3 linked regions of the Schizosaccharomyces pombe genome follow. The gene in region 1 interacts genetically with each later gene. Each region holds a gene or a part of one and is shown on either strand. Other genes may lie near its edges.

Region 1 (8,021 bases):
AAAGTAATAATGAAATACATTTTAAAAACTTGTAAAATCTGCAACATCGAATTGAGGACCCGTAAAACTAATGAGCTGACCCTTTTGCACTTTATTTACTTTGTACGTAGATGCCTGAAAATTCCAACTGCGGGTTACCAAATGCAAAATACAACATCAACATGCGTTGGGATCATTTAATAAACATTAATTAATAGCATAGTTGAATGCAATGATATTTACTAACATACATATGTTCCTTTGATCTATATGCAACATAGAAAACTGAGCACGCTCAAACTTTCAAATATTTTAAAAACAACTAGTCGAAGATGAAGGGAAGGTATAGTGTGTACTATGTTTCAATATATAAGGAAATTGAAGACGCAATTCTTAATCGCATTTTTTAATGCTTCTTTTTATGATAGGCGTAATATTTTAAAAAAAAAACCATCACTTATCTTTGACTCTATAAGACTAATCAAGTTAAGATCAGGATGGGCATTCCATTTTTCGTAGTACGGATTGAATAATTTAGTTAACAAGTTCAATACAACATTGGCGATACTGATCAAAACTTTATTATATAAGTTTATAAAAGCAGTGTTCAACGATTTAATGAATTATTCTACTACGCGTGATTTTTGCTTACACTAGGAAATAGCTTTTGTTTGGCAGCATCTACTAAGGTTCTCTCCTTGACTTCGTCAAATACGATATTAGGGTCTTTAGACGATCAGAACTTGGACGTTAACTTATTCGAAACACAAAAGAGTTCGCTGCTAATGTTAACGACTTTCTGCCAAGTTTCCATTCAGCAACTTATCATATTTTTCACAGAAGTCATTCCCTGATGTTGAATCATATATTATTATTGGTGATTTCGCTTGTTTGTGCTGCCTTAACCCTTTCTTGGTTTCCTCTACTTTTCAGGAAACAATCCTATTCATGTGCTAAAGGACTGATTGTGATAACAGGAGGAAGTGGGATTCTTGGTCATGCTATTATTCAAGAGGCGTTGGATAGAGGCTTCAGCGTCGCCTCTTTGGACAGTACTGAGCCTGCATCTTTTCTACAGTACAATTCTAAATTTAGTGCTTTGAAATGTAATATTACCAAAGATAAGGACGTAGAAGGATGTGTCCATTCTTTGAAAAAGATGAACAGGACCCCTTTTGCTCTGATCAATGCTGCAGCTATTGCTCCAAAAAATCATTTGCTGTCTATATCAAGACAAGAATTACAAAAGTAAGTACAGGTTAAGCGTAGTAAGCCTTATTTTCTAACTGCTTAATTTAGATGCTTTGAAACAAATGTGATCGGACAGCTGGCAATTACATCTGCATTATTTCCTCTCCTTTTACAAGATCCAAATCCTCATGTGGTCAACATAGCATCCTCCTTGGCTTATTTTAGTGCGATGGGAGTCGGTAAGTGGGGTTGATTTTATAAAATTTGCTTTTCCTTTCTAACGTGATTAACAGGTGCCTATTCATCTTCAAAAGCGGCACTAGTTTCGCTACATGAAACATTAGAGGAAGAGGTTTTATCACAGCATCCCAACTTCAAGTTTTCTCTTTATGTTTTAGGGCAAATTAAATCTACAATGTTCGAAAAAGATACCCCAAACAGAGTATTAGCCCCTCTACTAGAACCTCAAAACTTAGCAAAAATTATTATTCAAAACTTATATACAAACAAATCGGGTCGTTTTTACTATCCATTTTACGCACGTTTTATGCCTCTACTGAGGTTTTTCCCACTTCCAATACAAAAATTGGCTCGTCTATTTAGTGGCATGGATAAAATTTATTCATAATCCACCTACAAGTCAATGATAGCAAAGGTGCTCCCAATATGGACTTCTGCTGATGACTGGCTAATCCATAGGACTTCAGGAATTTCAACCTCATTCGTTTTGTTAGTTTGTAATAATATACGTTTTCGGATCGTTAATGAAGGTGTTGATAAGTTCAAGAATTTTACGAAATCTTGGCTGTATTTCCAAATAATGCATTCCTTTTGCGTAGCACTGACTCCAACAAAATAGTCACCAGAAGGACTGGCGGACAATACCTGAATATCACATTCGGCGTTTTCCTTGCTGACGACTTTCCTTCTTTTAGCTATTTCATAAACCACAAGATCACCATCGTCAATGTAGGAATATTTTTCCACCTTACTATCAAAACATGCAAATGGAAATTGGGTTGCAATTGCGTTAGTAACGTCGTGAACTTCTTCAACCGAGCGGCTAGAGTAAAGGATTGGAAGTAATTTTTCCGTGATCAATTGATTAAATAAAGAAAATTCGGATTGTGTGTTTTCAATTGCCAAAGACACAACTTTTAGTATAACGGAACGTAAATTTGATTTCATTTGCTCATAAACTTCATCGCATAAACATGTAAGCAGTAAAACAGCATTCGAAACTGAGACATCCACTATTGATCTATAGAGAATGCTATTTTTATCATCCAAATCCTTAGTATTCTCTAAGGATGACAAAACCAGGTTGTATATAAACTTTGCAGGATCAATATGTTTTGAAAACACGGAAAAACCATTACTCAACAGGCGAATTGCTGTTAAGTCATAGTCCATACTTTCGGATTTTTGTAATAAATAGGAAGACAAAAATTTCAATTGTGAAACATCAAATGCTGAAGGCCGTAAACTGACAATTAATGACAAGATGTACAGTGAATGTTGCACCTCCTTTTTCAGATAGTACTCTCCACCTGTAGTCGTAAAAAACTCAAAATAATAATATATAAGCCTCTGAAGTTCCTCTGGAGATATAAGTTCCAATGTTCTCGACAACATTGATTTAATTATACCCTGCATAACCTTGCCTGAATTATTCCAGACGTATGAAAGAACGGAAATACTGTAATCAACCGTTTTCAGGTCTTTTAACTTTAATAATATTCCTTCAGTCAATTTGGTATCGCTCAGCCCATCATATTTACATAAAGGAACCATTAGAGAAAAATATAGATATAACAGCAAAGCGGAACAATTTGGTGCAGTATTTATTATTGACTTCATTTCGGTGTCAAATCGAAGTATGGCATTTCCATCTGGCTTACCCACACCAAGATGCAAACTGGATTGATCAAAAACAGTACCTAACAACTGATGCTCCATCTCTATATCAGAGTTTAGGAAAGGAGGTTGGATAAAGTCAAGGAACTCGTCAATATACGTTTTTTCTATGTAATTTTCATTAGAAAAATTGAGGTTCAGTACTAAATCATGAGCGTCTAAAAAAACAGTAACCAAATTATCGGTGAGTAAAGCACAAGAACCATGATACAAAGTAGGGAGGTTAGATTTATCAAAAGTACCAATAGATATGAACGAAGAGTCAATAATATCTGAATAATTTCCTTCAGAACATTTTTGATCCACAACGTCCCAATTTAATAGTTGAAAATTGTCATAAGCAACATAGATTTGATCTAAATCGGGAAATGAGTACAAAGTTTCAACTTGAGCACCATCAGATGGCAAGTAGCTTAGACTATAAAAGTCGATTAATAACTGATAACACACTGATAACTTACAGATTATAAGATTCATCCAAGGCACACAATGAGCCATCTAAACTCATAAAAATAAATAAGCCTGATGAACCAGAAGATAATGATTTCTTTGCATGAATAATTTTAGTAATTGAAGAAGATTGCAAAGCACGCTCGCAGAGAAATCTCCATCTTTCACCCTGAAGTTGTTGATAAAAGTAAGCCTTTCCAGTTTTGGTAGCAACAACTAAAATTGAGCGTGAATGTTCAGTTTCAAATATTTTCATATATGTTACAATTCCAGAAACCCTTGTAAAAGAGTAAAGAGGAGCTGGATCATTGTGAAGGTACCAGTCAAACAAAGAAAACATCACTAAACCAGAGGTTGTTCCAAGGAATAAATTAAGAGAGTCCGTATAAGCGTAGGAAACAGCAGCTGTATTGCTCAACTTACAAAGATTGCATGAGTCTACGGTTCCTTCTGTTAACCAATTGAAAGTTATTTTTTCGGGATAAACACACAAACTAACGGGTTTACTTTTTAAAATGGTGCACGATTTCCATGGAAAATCTCCAGAATACTTAGAAATTAATTCGAAATGAGGTTCAGGAGATTGATGAAGTTTGAGTAAAGTTGAAGACGAAAGAGTAAAAATACAAGCCGTGCCATCAGCCAAAACAAATACAGATGTTATCTCTGCAAGTGAATATGAAGCTATAAATTTCTCATGCGATTCCAATAGTACTACCGCATCCGAGTATACATATAGCGCATAATTGGAAGAAATGCAATCTGCTGGTACAACATCAATAACCTTACCAAAAGTTGGTTTAACATCTGCTTTTGTAACTGAATTTCTTTTAAAAGTAAGAGCTGACCAATCAACTGACCAAAGAGATACAGATCCATCTGAATAGGCGACAGGGATTAATAAAGCTTCGTCTTTGAACGGAAACAAAATAGGCCAGTCCTCATGACCAGTCCAAGTCGCAACTATCTGAAAGTTGGAGATTCTAATGAGATATATTTTCAAAAAGGTTCCGGTAACAGCAAGAAAGTTGTTATTTAATCTAAATAGCTTTAAACATAGCCCGTCACACAATTGCAAAGTAGCTCGTCGGTCACATGTTTTCAGTAGCCATTGACAAAGTAATCTGAGAAAATGTTAGCAAGAAATAAGTTAAATAATGAATTTGATAATTGCTGCTCGGCTAATGAGAGTTGCTCAACATACCCAGATTCGTCGAGTGTAATGATTGATAGGTCTACAATTCCATCAGCTTCAAATGGAAGGCAAACTATAGAAGAAACGGAATGTTTGTGTGCTATAAATGTTTGGATCAAAGTGAAATGATTGTCTGTAGAAACGTCAAATACCATGACTTGGCCGGAACATTGGCCTACTATCAAATACTGATCAAAACAATGTATTGAAGACACGTCAAGGCCTTCATCTAACAAATGAGTTTTACAGCTTTTCGACAATGCAACCCAATCCATTTTGATTCGCAATCAACAACGGTCTAAGGCTGACATCAATTTTGAACGCTGTTCGAACACGGCTTCCCAAATAACCACTCAATTCAGTAATTGTTAAACCTTTTTAAATATAAAAGTAATTGAAAACGCAGAAAATGAAATTAAAACAATATTTAGGCAGACTAACAGTTGCCGCGATATTCTTGAATGTAAAATTAGCAAATTCGGAACGCAAACGAATAAACAAGATGCAACAAGTATTTGAGGAAGAGAATCTAAGAAAAATGAAGAACTTGCAACAGCCATAGACAAGAATGTCTAACAAATAGCCATGTAAACAATTCGTCCATCCGTCATTTAATAGAATGTATGCATCGACAGCTCCGATTGTATCAATCATTACATAAATCTCTTCATTCTTGAATTATATACAACTTACACTTCTCCAAAATTTATACCACTGCACACAACTTCGAATTCCACTCGGTGGTGGGAATGTGCTGCTGTGCTACTTGAAGCACGCGAATACTATATGACCTAGTTGATGGGGCGATGCCCTTGCTTCCAAATCTTGACAATACTTAGTAGTAAGAATACAGCGTACAAACGAGTTTAAGTTATAGTAAACGAGCATTATTTAATAACACAAAAGAGTATTGTTGTACATAGAAAAAAACCGAAAAAATTGCTAACAGTCTTATTTTATTCAATTTGCCAAATAAACAGAACATTTACATACTTCAAATGTTGTAAATTTCGCACTGCAACTAGTATTCAAATCTCAACCTGGAAAAACGATATAACGAAATTGAAATATACTTCAGACTGTAGCATCATCTACTGTACACGAGGCAAACTTAAGTCATAGTATGTGTAAAATAAGTTAACAATTCCATTCCAAAGCTGCAACATTTAACATATACCCTAATAAACTCTGCCGTCCCGATTACCGAGCTTTCTCAAGAATTTTGTAATCCTTCATTGAAGCACCTTTTTTTTTCATATTTATATATAAATATATATATTAATATATACTAAATTTTATTTTTATTTTTATTTTTTGTGGAGTTTTATACTACAGAAATACAATTGTCACGTTAAAAATTTCAAAAACTATCTATTAACTGCTGCTTTTTGTGTATTTATATATTTAATTTACTTTACTTCGTTTGTGGTGGATCTAAGTTATAACATTACGAAGCAACATTCTCTTATTGTAGTAGGAAGTAGTACAGTGCCGAAACTGAGGCATCATCACAAAACCCTTACTCAACACCATTTACTGTTTTATCCGTTTCATTAGATTTTTACGATATAATGAGCGTGGATGTAAGTATAGATCTAATGAATCTTTGCAAAAATTTTAAACTAATTACATAAAAGACGGCTAAAAGTGATATTCAAGCGGAACCTTCAACTGGGACGCTGGAAAATAAATCCTCTAAAACGTACTCAGATTCCGAGAATAATTCCACGTTGGATGTTTCAGCTCAAGTACTCACATTGGATAATAAATCCAGGATCTTATGTATTGCCGATGTTCGAGGTAAGTATGCGTTGTTTATGGATTTAGAGCTGCCAGCGAGAATTCAAAAGCACCCCATCGGGGGAATTATCGACGATCGTTTTACTTTTTAAGATAAGAAGATGCGAATTTGTATGCTTTTGCATGAACTTATCCATAATGGCTTAGCAGGAGTTGAAGCGCAATTGCTCAATTTACTCATTTTGTCATTAAAGATCCTCGTTGGTTCGTAAAAGAATTTTGTCCATACACTTTATTCTCCTTAGCTATTCCTATCCTTAAAATTACTACTCTTTAATACGCGTTTTTACTAATAACTATCCCTTCAGGTGAACTGAGTTTAATAAATAGCCTGGTTGAGGAAACCAATGCCTCCTGTGTCATCCACACTGGTGACTTTGGATTTTTTGAGCGATCCTCACTTCCTAGCATATCTGAACGGTATGTTTTGTGTCAAAAATTTTTATGTTTCATTTTTCTTTGTTCTAACCTTTTTTCAGTACTCTTCGTCACATTGTCCAATTCTCGCCTCTCATAAAAAAGCTTCCTAGGTCCAAAAACTTTGATTATTATCCCTCGAATCCAATTGGGGATTTGAAGAATAGTATTGCTTCTCACCCCGATTGCCTGCTTTCAGAATTACCTCAATTTTTGTCACAAGAGAAGAAATTCTCAGTCCCTGTATATGTAGTATGGGGAGCTTGCGAAGATGTGCACGTTTTGGAAAAATTTCGTTCTGGAGAATATTCTATTCCAAACCTTAACATAGTGGACGAACTTCATTCCTACCTATTGCAAATTGGAGATATGAAAATCCGTTTACTTGGTCTTGGAGGTCCTTATGTCCCTTTTAAGCTTTTTGACAATGGAGACGGTAAAGGAACTATTGCTGGTGGCCAGGGTACTATGTGGACTACAATCCTTCAAATGGGTGAACTAATAGAAACCGCTAAGAGCCTGCTTGACAGAGAGGAGGCACGTATTTTTATTACGCATCATCCCATTGGAAGAGAAGGTGTTCTTTCTCAATTAGCTACTGCTTGCCAGGCTGACCTGACTTTATCCGCCGGTCTTCATTTTCGTTATGGAGCTAGCTACAATGAGTTTTGCGTAAATCATAGTCCTGAACATTATCTTCAAAAACTTTCGGCTGCCCGTGCACAGTTTATGGAAGTGTATGACACTGTTAAGGCTGAGGTTGAGAAGATGGTTACCCCTGAACAACATCATCTAATAAACAATGTTGTTCGCCTAGTCTCTCGCATGCCCGATGCAACTAACTCATATGCTATGAATAACATGCTTCCCGGCACTGCTTTTAAAAACCTATGGAACTTCAATTTATTAGATGCTTCCTTTGGATGGACTGTTTTTGTCGTCGAAAATGGGCATGTTCAAGTGGAAAGCAAATCTCATGGCTTTAATTTAGGCTATCGTCGCATGGCTTCACGTCGTAACGAAAATTATGCATCTCACATTCCACGCTCAACTTCGGAAAATACCGGTACCT
Region 2 (4,571 bases), on another chromosome or scaffold:
TCTGCCAATTCTTCTTTTTCATTCAATATGGAAACAGAATTTGTTCCGCTTATTGGATTGGAAAATGAACTTGCGAAGGAAGAAACCTCTGATAATGGTGACAAATATCACCATCCTGTTTTGCTTTCTTTACTTGCGAATGAAATATCTAAATCATTAGAGACAACTATAGATCCTTCCAAAATTGTGGATTTTGAGTTGATTCTAGGTGATGCTGAAAAGGCTCGCCTTGGCGGAATTCACGAAGAGTTTGTATTCTCACCTCGTCTCGATAACCTTGGAATGACATTTTGCGCATCTCAAGCTTTAACTAAATCATTGGAAAATAACTCCCTTGATAATGAAAGTTGCGTTAGAGTTGTTCCCTCCTTTGACCACGAGGAAATCGGTTCCGTGTCAGCTCAAGGTGCTGAAAGCACGTTTTTACCAGCTGTTCTCCAAAGAATATGCGAGCTGGGGAAAGAAAGTTCTTTGTTTTCAATTTCCATGGTAAAAAGTTTTCTAGTTTCTGCTGACATGGCTCATGCCATGCATCCCAATTACTCATCTCGCTATGAAAATTCGAATACCCCATTTTTGAACAAAGGAACTGTAATTAAAGTTAATGCGAATCAGCGTTATACGACTAATTCCGCAGGCATAGTCCTTTTAAAGAAAGTAGCTCAACTCGCCGATGTGCCAATTCAGTCATTCGTGGTGCGAAATGATTCTCCTTGTGGAAGCACTATTGGTCCCAAACTTGCTGCCATGACAGGAATGCGTACACTCGATTTAGGAAATCCTATGCTTTCTATGCACTCTTGCCGTGAAATGTGTGGCTCCAAGGACTTTGAGTATGCAGTCGTCTTATTCTCTTCATTTTTTCAAAACTTTGCAAATTTGGAAGAAAAAATCATTATTGATGAATAGTTTACCAAGTTTGTTTATGTCTTACACCTCATGATACTATGGGTTCATAAGAACGCCATGAAATTTACCGAACTCGTATCTGTTGGCCGTGCTATGAGTAGTACTAGTTGCCTCTCTTATAGTTATGAAAATGATATCCACATGACAATTATAATCATAACCCCATGATTTGCTATAGCAAGGTATAAAGTTAAACATGACTAGCAAGTCTTTCAACGAAAGCATGTGTGTATCAAAAGTAATTGATTTAGATAAAAATTCATAAGAGGAAATTCTGATTATAAGTATACCGAACACATCCTGCTTTCTTTAATTTTTTTATGAAAAAAGAATGATAGGTTCAAAAATAGATTATACCTATATAATATACAATAGTAAAACCCACTGCTAAATTAAACGAAAGAAAAGATTAAATAAAAAAGAGACAATTGGAATAATAGGTTACGACATCATCTTGCTATGCTTCAATTCGATAGCTCGTTTATAAGGAGGAGCGGTTGGAGGTTGTATAACGTCTAAGGTAGCCTTTTTCATATTTATTTCAACGGGATAAGTAGCGTCCGCATCATAACCATCAAGGTCACCACATGCAATAAATGGTGCAATCTCATGAGCATTGGTTGGATCGATTACACATAAAGGTTTTGTTAAATCGGGTTGAAAATTAGAAGGGGGGTTAAAATCTTCACAAACGACAAAGGACTCGATAGAGCTAGCACGAGAGCTTCTTGGTTTAGCACAAGAAACTTTTCGAAACATCAAACGAAGCTGAGAGTATAACAGTGAAACATCTCGTCCACGAAAAATTTTTGCAACAAATTTCCCACCAGGCTTTAAAACACAAACCGCTAAATTAAATGCAGCTAACAATATCTGTGCTTGAATATATTCATCTAGGTCGTGCAAACCAGTAACATCTGGGGCACCATCACTAACTACGAGATCAGCCGGTTCATTACCAAAGTGAGACAAAATAATTGAAAGGGTGTTGGGATGAGTAATGTCTAATTGCAGGGTGCATACCCCATCGATTGGTGCCATGGGTTGAAGATCAACAGCAACAATCATAGGTTTCTCATCTGCGGCAATGGAAGTATCAATGTTTTTGAGTAACTCACGAGACAAAACTTGAGACCAAGACCCCGGTGCAGCACATAAGTCTACAACTCTTTTTGCTCCTTCAAATAAATTGAACTGTTCGTTTAATTGGAGCAATTTGAAAGCTGAGCGGGCTCTCCACCCTTGTTCCTTCGCCAGACGATAATAGGCATCTCTCTAAAAAAGTGTAAAGTTAGTATTTTAACAAAATAAATAGTTAAATAATTATTTAGCAATAAAAAAAAAATGAAATAATAAACTAAAATGTTTCTATATGCGACTGAGAAACATTAAAGTTTACACATTAATATACGATATAACTTCGATAAAATTAACGTAAACTTTTCGCTACAAAGTTAAGTATTTACAAGGTTTCAGTAACGCACGAGACATACCTTATCTTTGCTGCTTCTCCCCATTTGTTTTTCAGTTTGGTAAAAACTGGTTGAAATTATTATATTCGTTTCTTGCATCGATTGTATTGAATAAACATATCGTTAAATATTGATTAGGAGATAATTATTTCGGTAGCGTATTGTTATGAAGTGGTTCGAATTAACATATGGATACATCACTATAAAGATTTTAGGATATAATCACATCCATAGTACTAATTATCGTTAAACTAATCTTAATCAAGTTATTGAATAAGCTAAATGCTTCTTCTCGAATACTGCTATTATACTCTATCTTGATGAAAGCAATATCAAGCTGTTTTTAAATGCTGTTATAGTTGCTGTTATATTCTTTAACTTGGTCCTGGTTTTTTTTAATAAAGAGTCGTTCATCAAAGCCTGTAACTTAGTGAGTGTCGTAAATCTATTGGCGTATACGCGAACTTGATTGATTCATTGTTTATTGCTTTACAATGCAAGTCGTAGATGAGAAAACAATACTAGAGCTTGAAAATGAAAGGTTTGATGAAAGTTCACAGTTTAAAACTCCCGAAAAACTAATCGTGGAGGCGAGCGATATGACGGCGTTTCGACAATCGAAAGCATATTATCGAATTTTTGATTTTTTACAGCGTCTCAATATTGCATCTGTGGGTGTGAACGATTATCATGTGGAATACTCAACAAGAGTTGAAAAGTTAGTACGAATATTGTGTAGAGTTAAAGAAATTACTAAAACTGTACCACCTGCATCAGGTCGGCATCGGTTTGGTAATCCTGCTTTTCGAATATGGCACGAAAAGCTACGTGACTCCGCCTCTCAAATTATGGACATCATTATTCCTGATTCATTGAGTAAGGCAAAAGTGGAGTTACTGGACTATTTTTTGGGATCGTTTGGTAATTCTCAAAGAATTGACTTTGGTACGGGTCATGAGTTAAATTTTTTGGGTTTTATTAAGGGCTTGGACTTGCTGGGACTTTTAGATGCCGCAGATTATAAAGCTATCGCCTTGTACATAACCCATGTTTACTTGGAAGTTTGTCGTGAGCTCGTTCAAACTTATCGCTTAGAGCCTGCTGGCTCACATGGAGTTTGGGGGCTTGATGATCATTTTTTTATTCCTTATATTTTTGGTTCTGCCCAACTTGCTGATAAGGCATCATCTTCCATCATAAAGCCTGATGCTATACTTAACAAAAAAATAGTGGATGAAAAAGCTAATAGCAACTTGTATTTTAGTGCTATCAAGTTTATAAACGTGATGAAAAAGGGCCCATTTTACGAACATTCCCCAATATTGTATGATATAACCGCTGTTCCTATATGGTCAAAGGTCAATCAGGTATGTTAAGAAGTGTGTATTTATTAAGCTAATTACTTTCAAGGGATTGATAAAAATGTACGATGTGGAAGTGCTGAGCAAATATCCTGTTGTTCAACACTTTCATTTTGGAAATCTCTTTCCGTTTAACCCTTTAGTTGCAAAGTAGTTTAACTTTAATCTTTCGTGCAATTTCAAAAACAAATAGTCACTGTTATTAATGTTATGTTTTATTTATTGTATCTTTTATGGTTGCTGATAAGCTATTTTATAGGGGCCAAAAGGAAGGAAAGCCCGCAAATTTACTGAAAAAATTTTTAATAAACCAAATTATCGCAAGAATAGCATTACTGTTATTGCATTATATTTTTTATAAGTAATACTGTTTCTAATACATTTAAATTTATTTACTCATTAAAAAGCTATCAAGGTTATTTACCAGTACCTTCTCTACAGACTTTAAGTCAGTAAAAACTCCTTGGTCTTTAAAACTGGTAGTGTTTTTTCCATATAATCCGCAACCCACAATGTAATTGAAATACTTAAGATCCGTACTAACATTGAGCGCAAGACCATGACTAGTAATATTTCGGCGTAAATGAATACCAATTGCTGCAATTTTATCGTTTTCTGTTACCCACACACCGGTGTTTTTTGTTGTATGAGCTTTTTCGATGCCAAAGCTTTTACATGTTGCTATAATCGCTTGCTCTAGCCTTGACACATATTCACGTGGACTTAATCCAAAGGACTTCAAATCAATAATAGGATATGCAAGTATTTGACCAGGACCATGAAATGTAGTTTGCCCACCACGCAATGCTTTAACAACTTTAGCCTTAGG
Region 3 (5,010 bases), 520 kb from region 1:
TACGATATTATTTTTAATATTCCTCCTAAATAAATAACATTAATTATGTTGCGCTTCTATACAACTATGCATACTATGTACATCACGCTTTCTCATCTGTAAACACTGAATTGAATACCATGGCTGTTAAGGCTTCTGTATCTGAAAATCGTAATGTATCATCAAAGTTCTCCTTCTTCCTGCACCAAATTGTATTCGATGCCCACGACGTCTCCTGTTCGTATCACCGCTCTGTTAATAACGCCCCAATCGGTTTGTAGATTGGAAACTGCCAACTTTGACTCACTACTGTCTATCGCTCCAAATTCTGCTTTTACTTCTCGTTGATCGTGGAGGTACACAGTGATCGGGATTCGCGCAGAAGCCATTTTTTGATAAAATTTTAGTGTTCGCATCCTCTGGATGTAAGCAGTAGACTTTTTATTATTTTCTGCCATTAGTGTGAAAATTTATCAACAAAAAGTAATCTTGAATTACAAAAAGTCTTCAAAGTAAAGATTATAACATATGCAGTATGTGCATGGTTTTAAACGGTTTGCGTCGTTATCGTATGTGAGAGTAAACTTTCTAGGCACGTAATGTAATACAGTTAAAACACATAAGAAACTAAGCTAACCATTACCTATAAAATAAAAAATAAACTTTTATAGATATTATGAGTCAACTCATGTTTTAAATACAATGGAAACTTTGAATGAGATTCGTATTTCCTTAGGAATTTATGCTTAGATAATTTATATAAAAAGTAAAAGCGTATCGAACGAAAGTAAACAATGATACAAACATACTTGTAATGATGAAAGTGAAAAGAAAAATGCGTTACCCTAAAATAATCCATTTCAAGATCCTTTCGTTTTACGAGTAAAGTGTTGATATTCATAATTAATCCAAATATTAGAAACTCCTTAATTTTTTGCTATTTTTTAAAAACTTTTCCATCGGTCATTAAGAAAGCACAAGAGTGCAATTATTCTGTAGCAGCAGCTCTATACCAACGAATACTTTTATCAGCACCTGCGACGATGAACCCATTTTTATACCATGCCACAGCCCAAATAGCTCCATCCGTTTCACTTTGTGTACTAATACATTCCATGGTGTCAATATCCCAGATTTTGATTTTTCCTTCAACATCAGCCGAAAGCAACAAATCACCTACGGGATTGAAAGCTACTGCAAAAATCCATGCAGCATGACCACGAAGTTGGCCGACTTGATCCCCTGATAAAACGTCGTAGATAGTAATCATTTTAGAATCCCCGGCAGCAGCTAAAAGTGTTGAACCAGGAGAGAACGCCACTGATCGTACAGGGGAAGTGTGGCCCGATAGTACATGAAACAAGCGTCCTGTTTCTGTACTTATAAGGAAAAGCTGCCCAGTTTGATGACCAGAAACGATAAATCTTCCATTGGGAGAATAGTCTATACAAAGACCGAATTTACCTTTGGTATCTAACTCGGAAATTTTGCAATCACTTGGATTGTCCCAGACAGCAATACGCCCGTCTACAGATGTGAAAGCAATCGTTTGTCCATCAGGGCTAATGCAAGAAGACCAGCATTCGCTGGGATGTTGAGCATTATTACCTAAATCATATTCGTTAGAGAAATGCATAGCTTCTTCGTAAAGTAATTCGTACCCAAGTCTCGAAATTCATTAGTTTCAGGATTCCAAACATAAACATCCTGTCCAAATCCGCAAGAAACGACGACGTTTTCATCCAAGCTAGTTGCTAGATGATGAACGCCAAGTTTATGAGGGGTATCTATTTCTTCAACTAAGCTATGCTCAGCATCACCTATAGACCATTTTTTTATTTTGGAATCCCCAGAAGCCGACCAAAGATTGCCTGCGACTACATTGAGAGAGTAAATGTCTGCTTGATGTGCATTTTCTTCTATATGGCTAACGAGATACTCTTTCCTCATAGTATCTAATAAATAAGGAAAATAATACAACAAAATTAGTAATTAAAATGCTGGCGCTTTCCAATACTTTATAATACTTAAACCTGTGACTAGCAGGACTTAGTTTACTGTGGTTGCGTTCTCCTTAGATATACACGGTCTATGCACATACCCTAAACATGTTAGTGAAAAGATGAATTTATAAGTATGAATGAAAGAAAATAATTCTTTTCTGTAGGTAGAAATGAGAAGGTGAGATTATTAGTTGTTAACCGTGACACTGAATTAAATTGTTTAAACTTTTGGCAATAGTAGGTTTTTCAAATTTGAACAATTCGAAGTTTGATCAAATAAAGATGAGCAGATATCAAATGTTAACATCCAGGAAATAAAAAGACCTGGCGCCCATAATTGTCGATTAATTTATATGATATAGATAACAGCAATTACTAAAATTTAAGATTACTTTTTTCCCTTTATCTTACTCGTCTAGTGTAGCAAGTCAAGAGAAACGATAAATAACGCTTCGTGATTCTTGCAATAGGTAAAGTAAATTTGAATAAATTATTTTAGTAGATAACCTAATCATTTCATTATGCAATTTGGAACAACTTGTTTATTCATACCATTTTTTTCGAATGACTTAAACACACTTACAAAACGATTTTTAAAAACGCCACAATTCAGAAGGGAAGAAAGACTATCTTTAATATTGATTTTTAAAAGATACTAAATAAAAAATAAACCAATTTTTAACACTGGAATATGGATGTTTACTCAAGTTCACATAGTGTTGTATTTATAACTTCTACTCCAATGTTTACAGATTTACCGAAATATAACGCGTTACATAAATAACTTTAACACATCGGAAATGGAGTCATCTGACATTAGTAAAAAATCACGCAGTTCTGTGTACAATAACGGCTTAAGTTAAGCACAAGGCTCTTGTTTCCTTTCTTAACACGCCACCTTTCCTCTTGTATATATTCAGAAATTTCCTGATTTCTTAATAATACGTGTTCTAATAAGCACATATTGTCGCTTAGTTACAGGTAAGTTATGAATGAAATGCATTGAGGCTGTAATTGTTGCAATTGGTATTTTAATGTCTCAAAACACTTCTTTAATACTGTTATGAGCTTTTTGTCGAAAATTGCTGGTCTTCTGCTTTCGTGGAAGAAAAGAGACAGAGTCTTTATAATTCATGCTGTTAATGACATTGGCTTGGTTTAAGACCACGATGGTGCTTTTTGTTTGTTTTTATACTAATTCAGCAATTTCGTCTCTTTATCCATTTTTTTCTTAAATTCTCTTTCTTCTTAAGCTAATAAACTTTGTTAGATTATTTCTTTACATACAAATTATAAACTATTCGTTTTACTGTTCCATTTGACGGCAATAACTCCGTCCTTCTTTATCTCTTTTTAATTCCAACCTCGCAACAATGAGTGTTGAAAAGGCCCCTGAACTGCGTGTTCTCTCGTTTAATTGTTGGGGATTGCGCTTTGTTTCCAAGTACCGTACTGAACGTTTGAAAGCTGTTGGCGAAAAACTTGCGAAGTGCGATTATGACATTGTTCTTCTTCAAGAAGTATGGTCGATTTACGATTTTCAGGAAATTCGTAACTTGGTGAGCTGCAATCTTGTCTATTCTAGGTTTTTCCATAGTGCTGCTATGGGTGCTGGACTTGCCATGTTTTCGAAGTTTCCTATCATTGAATCTTCTATGAACAAGTATCCACTTAATGGTCGTCCTCAAGCTTTTTGGAGAGGTGATTGGTATGTTGGAAAGGGTGTCGCTACAGCTAGTTTACAACATCCCTCTGGAAGGATCATCTCTTTGTTCAATACTCATTTGCATGCTCCATACGGTAAGGGTGCTGATACCTACTTGTGCCACCGTCTGTCACAAGCCTGGTATATCTCGAAATTGCTCCGTGCTGCTGTTCAACGTGGTCATATCGTAATCGCTGCTGGTGACTTCAACATTCAACCCCTTAGTGTTCCTCACGAAATCATTACCTCTTATGGTTTGGTCAATGATGCTTGGCTGTCTGTCTATCCTGACCAAGTTGAGCATCCACCTAACCGTTTCAGCATGAATGATAAGGAGTTGGTTGAAATTGCTGGTACTACTTGTGATTCCCGTCTCAACACTTGGCGTGAGAACATTTCTAGTAAGGATATGGATGACTTTGTGGCTAAACGTCTCGATTACGTTTTTCACTCTCCTTCCACTTGTGAGGCTAAAAATGCTAAAGTGGTATTTCTTGAACGTGTTCCCAAATTGGATTGCAGTTATTCTGATCACTTTGCAATCGAGACTGTTTTGTCTATAAAATTGCAACCAATACCAGTTCAAGAAACTCGTGTATCTTATTCCATCATTGATGATACTTTAGGAATTACATATCAATACATGGCTCGTGAACGTCTTCATATGAGACTTCGAATTGCTCATCTACTTATTTCTATTCCCTTAATTATAGGAGTACATGTTGCCATCGCATGGTGTGATCCCGCTTGGTTAAAGGTTATCATCCTTTTCTTCACGGTAATGCTTACCATCGCAGCAGTAGTCAATGGTTTCTGTATTGGATTGCTATTTGGTAGATGGGAGTTTAATGGTTTGCTTGAATTTGTTGCTGAACTTAAGGAACAGAAATTACTTTGCAAACAGTATCTTGTGGACCATCCGTTACCCTTTGCTAAATCATAAATTTACCGATTGCTGTTAATATGCCTTCTTTATCCCGCTTTATCCCACATTGTTAATTTAAAATTTCCCATCATTTTTATCTAAGCTTTTTATCACAGCTTTGCATGCTGAGGCTAGCGACTCCTAATTGTTTTTTTTTAATTATTTTTACAAACAACCTTTGATAATTTCTGTGTTATTTTTTTAAAGTTTGGTTTTGGTAATATTTGACTCAAACCAGTTGTTTTTCATTTAGGTATACTTATAAATGGTCATTGTTTTTAAACTCGTTGTCTTTGTAAACGCGTATTTACAAAAAGCGACTTCGGATTTAGAGGGATGAAATCAATATTATTTAAAGATTCTGTTCGTTTGGTGAACAGATTACTGTAATTACAAAT

Evidence for each region.
Region 2: mutations in wdr7 (region 1) and ypa1 together harm fitness more than expected from each alone (negative genetic interaction), as found in Schizosaccharomyces pombe (2 studies listed by BioGRID).
Region 3: mutations in wdr7 (region 1) and rec14 together harm fitness more than expected from each alone (negative genetic interaction), as found in Schizosaccharomyces pombe (2 studies listed by BioGRID).

What each region holds. Positions count from the first base shown.
Region 1 is NC_003423.3:2,267,770-2,275,790, forward strand, and holds wdr7 (WDR7-like protein), read right to left. Parts: upstream 5,484-8,021; 5' UTR 5,426-5,483; intron 5,189-5,425; 5' UTR 5,008-5,188; coding exon 4,742-5,007; intron 4,662-4,741; coding exon 3,549-4,661; exon of another isoform or gene 3,506-3,548; coding exon 1,804-3,505; 3' UTR 1,799-1,803; downstream 1-1,798. Other genes in the region: SPOM_SPBC16H5.14C (DHRS family dehydrogenase), read left to right, coding at 833-1,227, 1,279-1,409, 1,464-1,798; SPOM_SPBC16H5.12C (uncharacterized protein), read left to right, coding at 6,304-6,315, 6,370-6,532, 6,841-6,952, 7,012-8,021.
Region 2 is NC_003424.3:4,833,520-4,838,090, forward strand, and holds ypa1 (type 2A protein phosphatase regulator), read left to right. Parts: upstream 1-2,675; 5' UTR 2,676-2,875; coding exon 2,876-3,748; exon of another isoform or gene 3,749-3,791; coding exon 3,792-3,896; 3' UTR 3,897-4,071; downstream 4,072-4,571. Other genes in the region: aspartyl metalloaminopeptidase Ape4, read left to right, coding at 1-909; trm7 (tRNA 2'-O-ribose methyltransferase), read right to left, coding at 1,351-2,184, 2,403-2,426; lip2 (lipoate-protein ligase), read right to left, coding at 4,131-4,571. UniProt on the Schizosaccharomyces pombe protein: PPIases accelerate the folding of proteins. It catalyzes the cis-trans isomerization of proline imidic peptide bonds in oligopeptides.
Region 3 is NC_003423.3:2,783,897-2,788,906, reverse strand, and holds rec14 (Ski complex WD repeat subunit Ski8), read right to left. Parts: upstream 2,013-5,010; 5' UTR 1,930-2,012; coding exon 1,641-1,929; exon of another isoform or gene 1,588-1,640; coding exon 968-1,587; 3' UTR 501-967; downstream 1-500. Other genes in the region: protein Gem7, read right to left, coding at 162-437; inositol phosphosphingolipid phospholipase C Css1, read left to right, coding at 3,356-4,630. UniProt on the Schizosaccharomyces pombe protein: Required for formation of the rec12-mediated double-strand breaks (DSBs) that initiate meiotic recombination.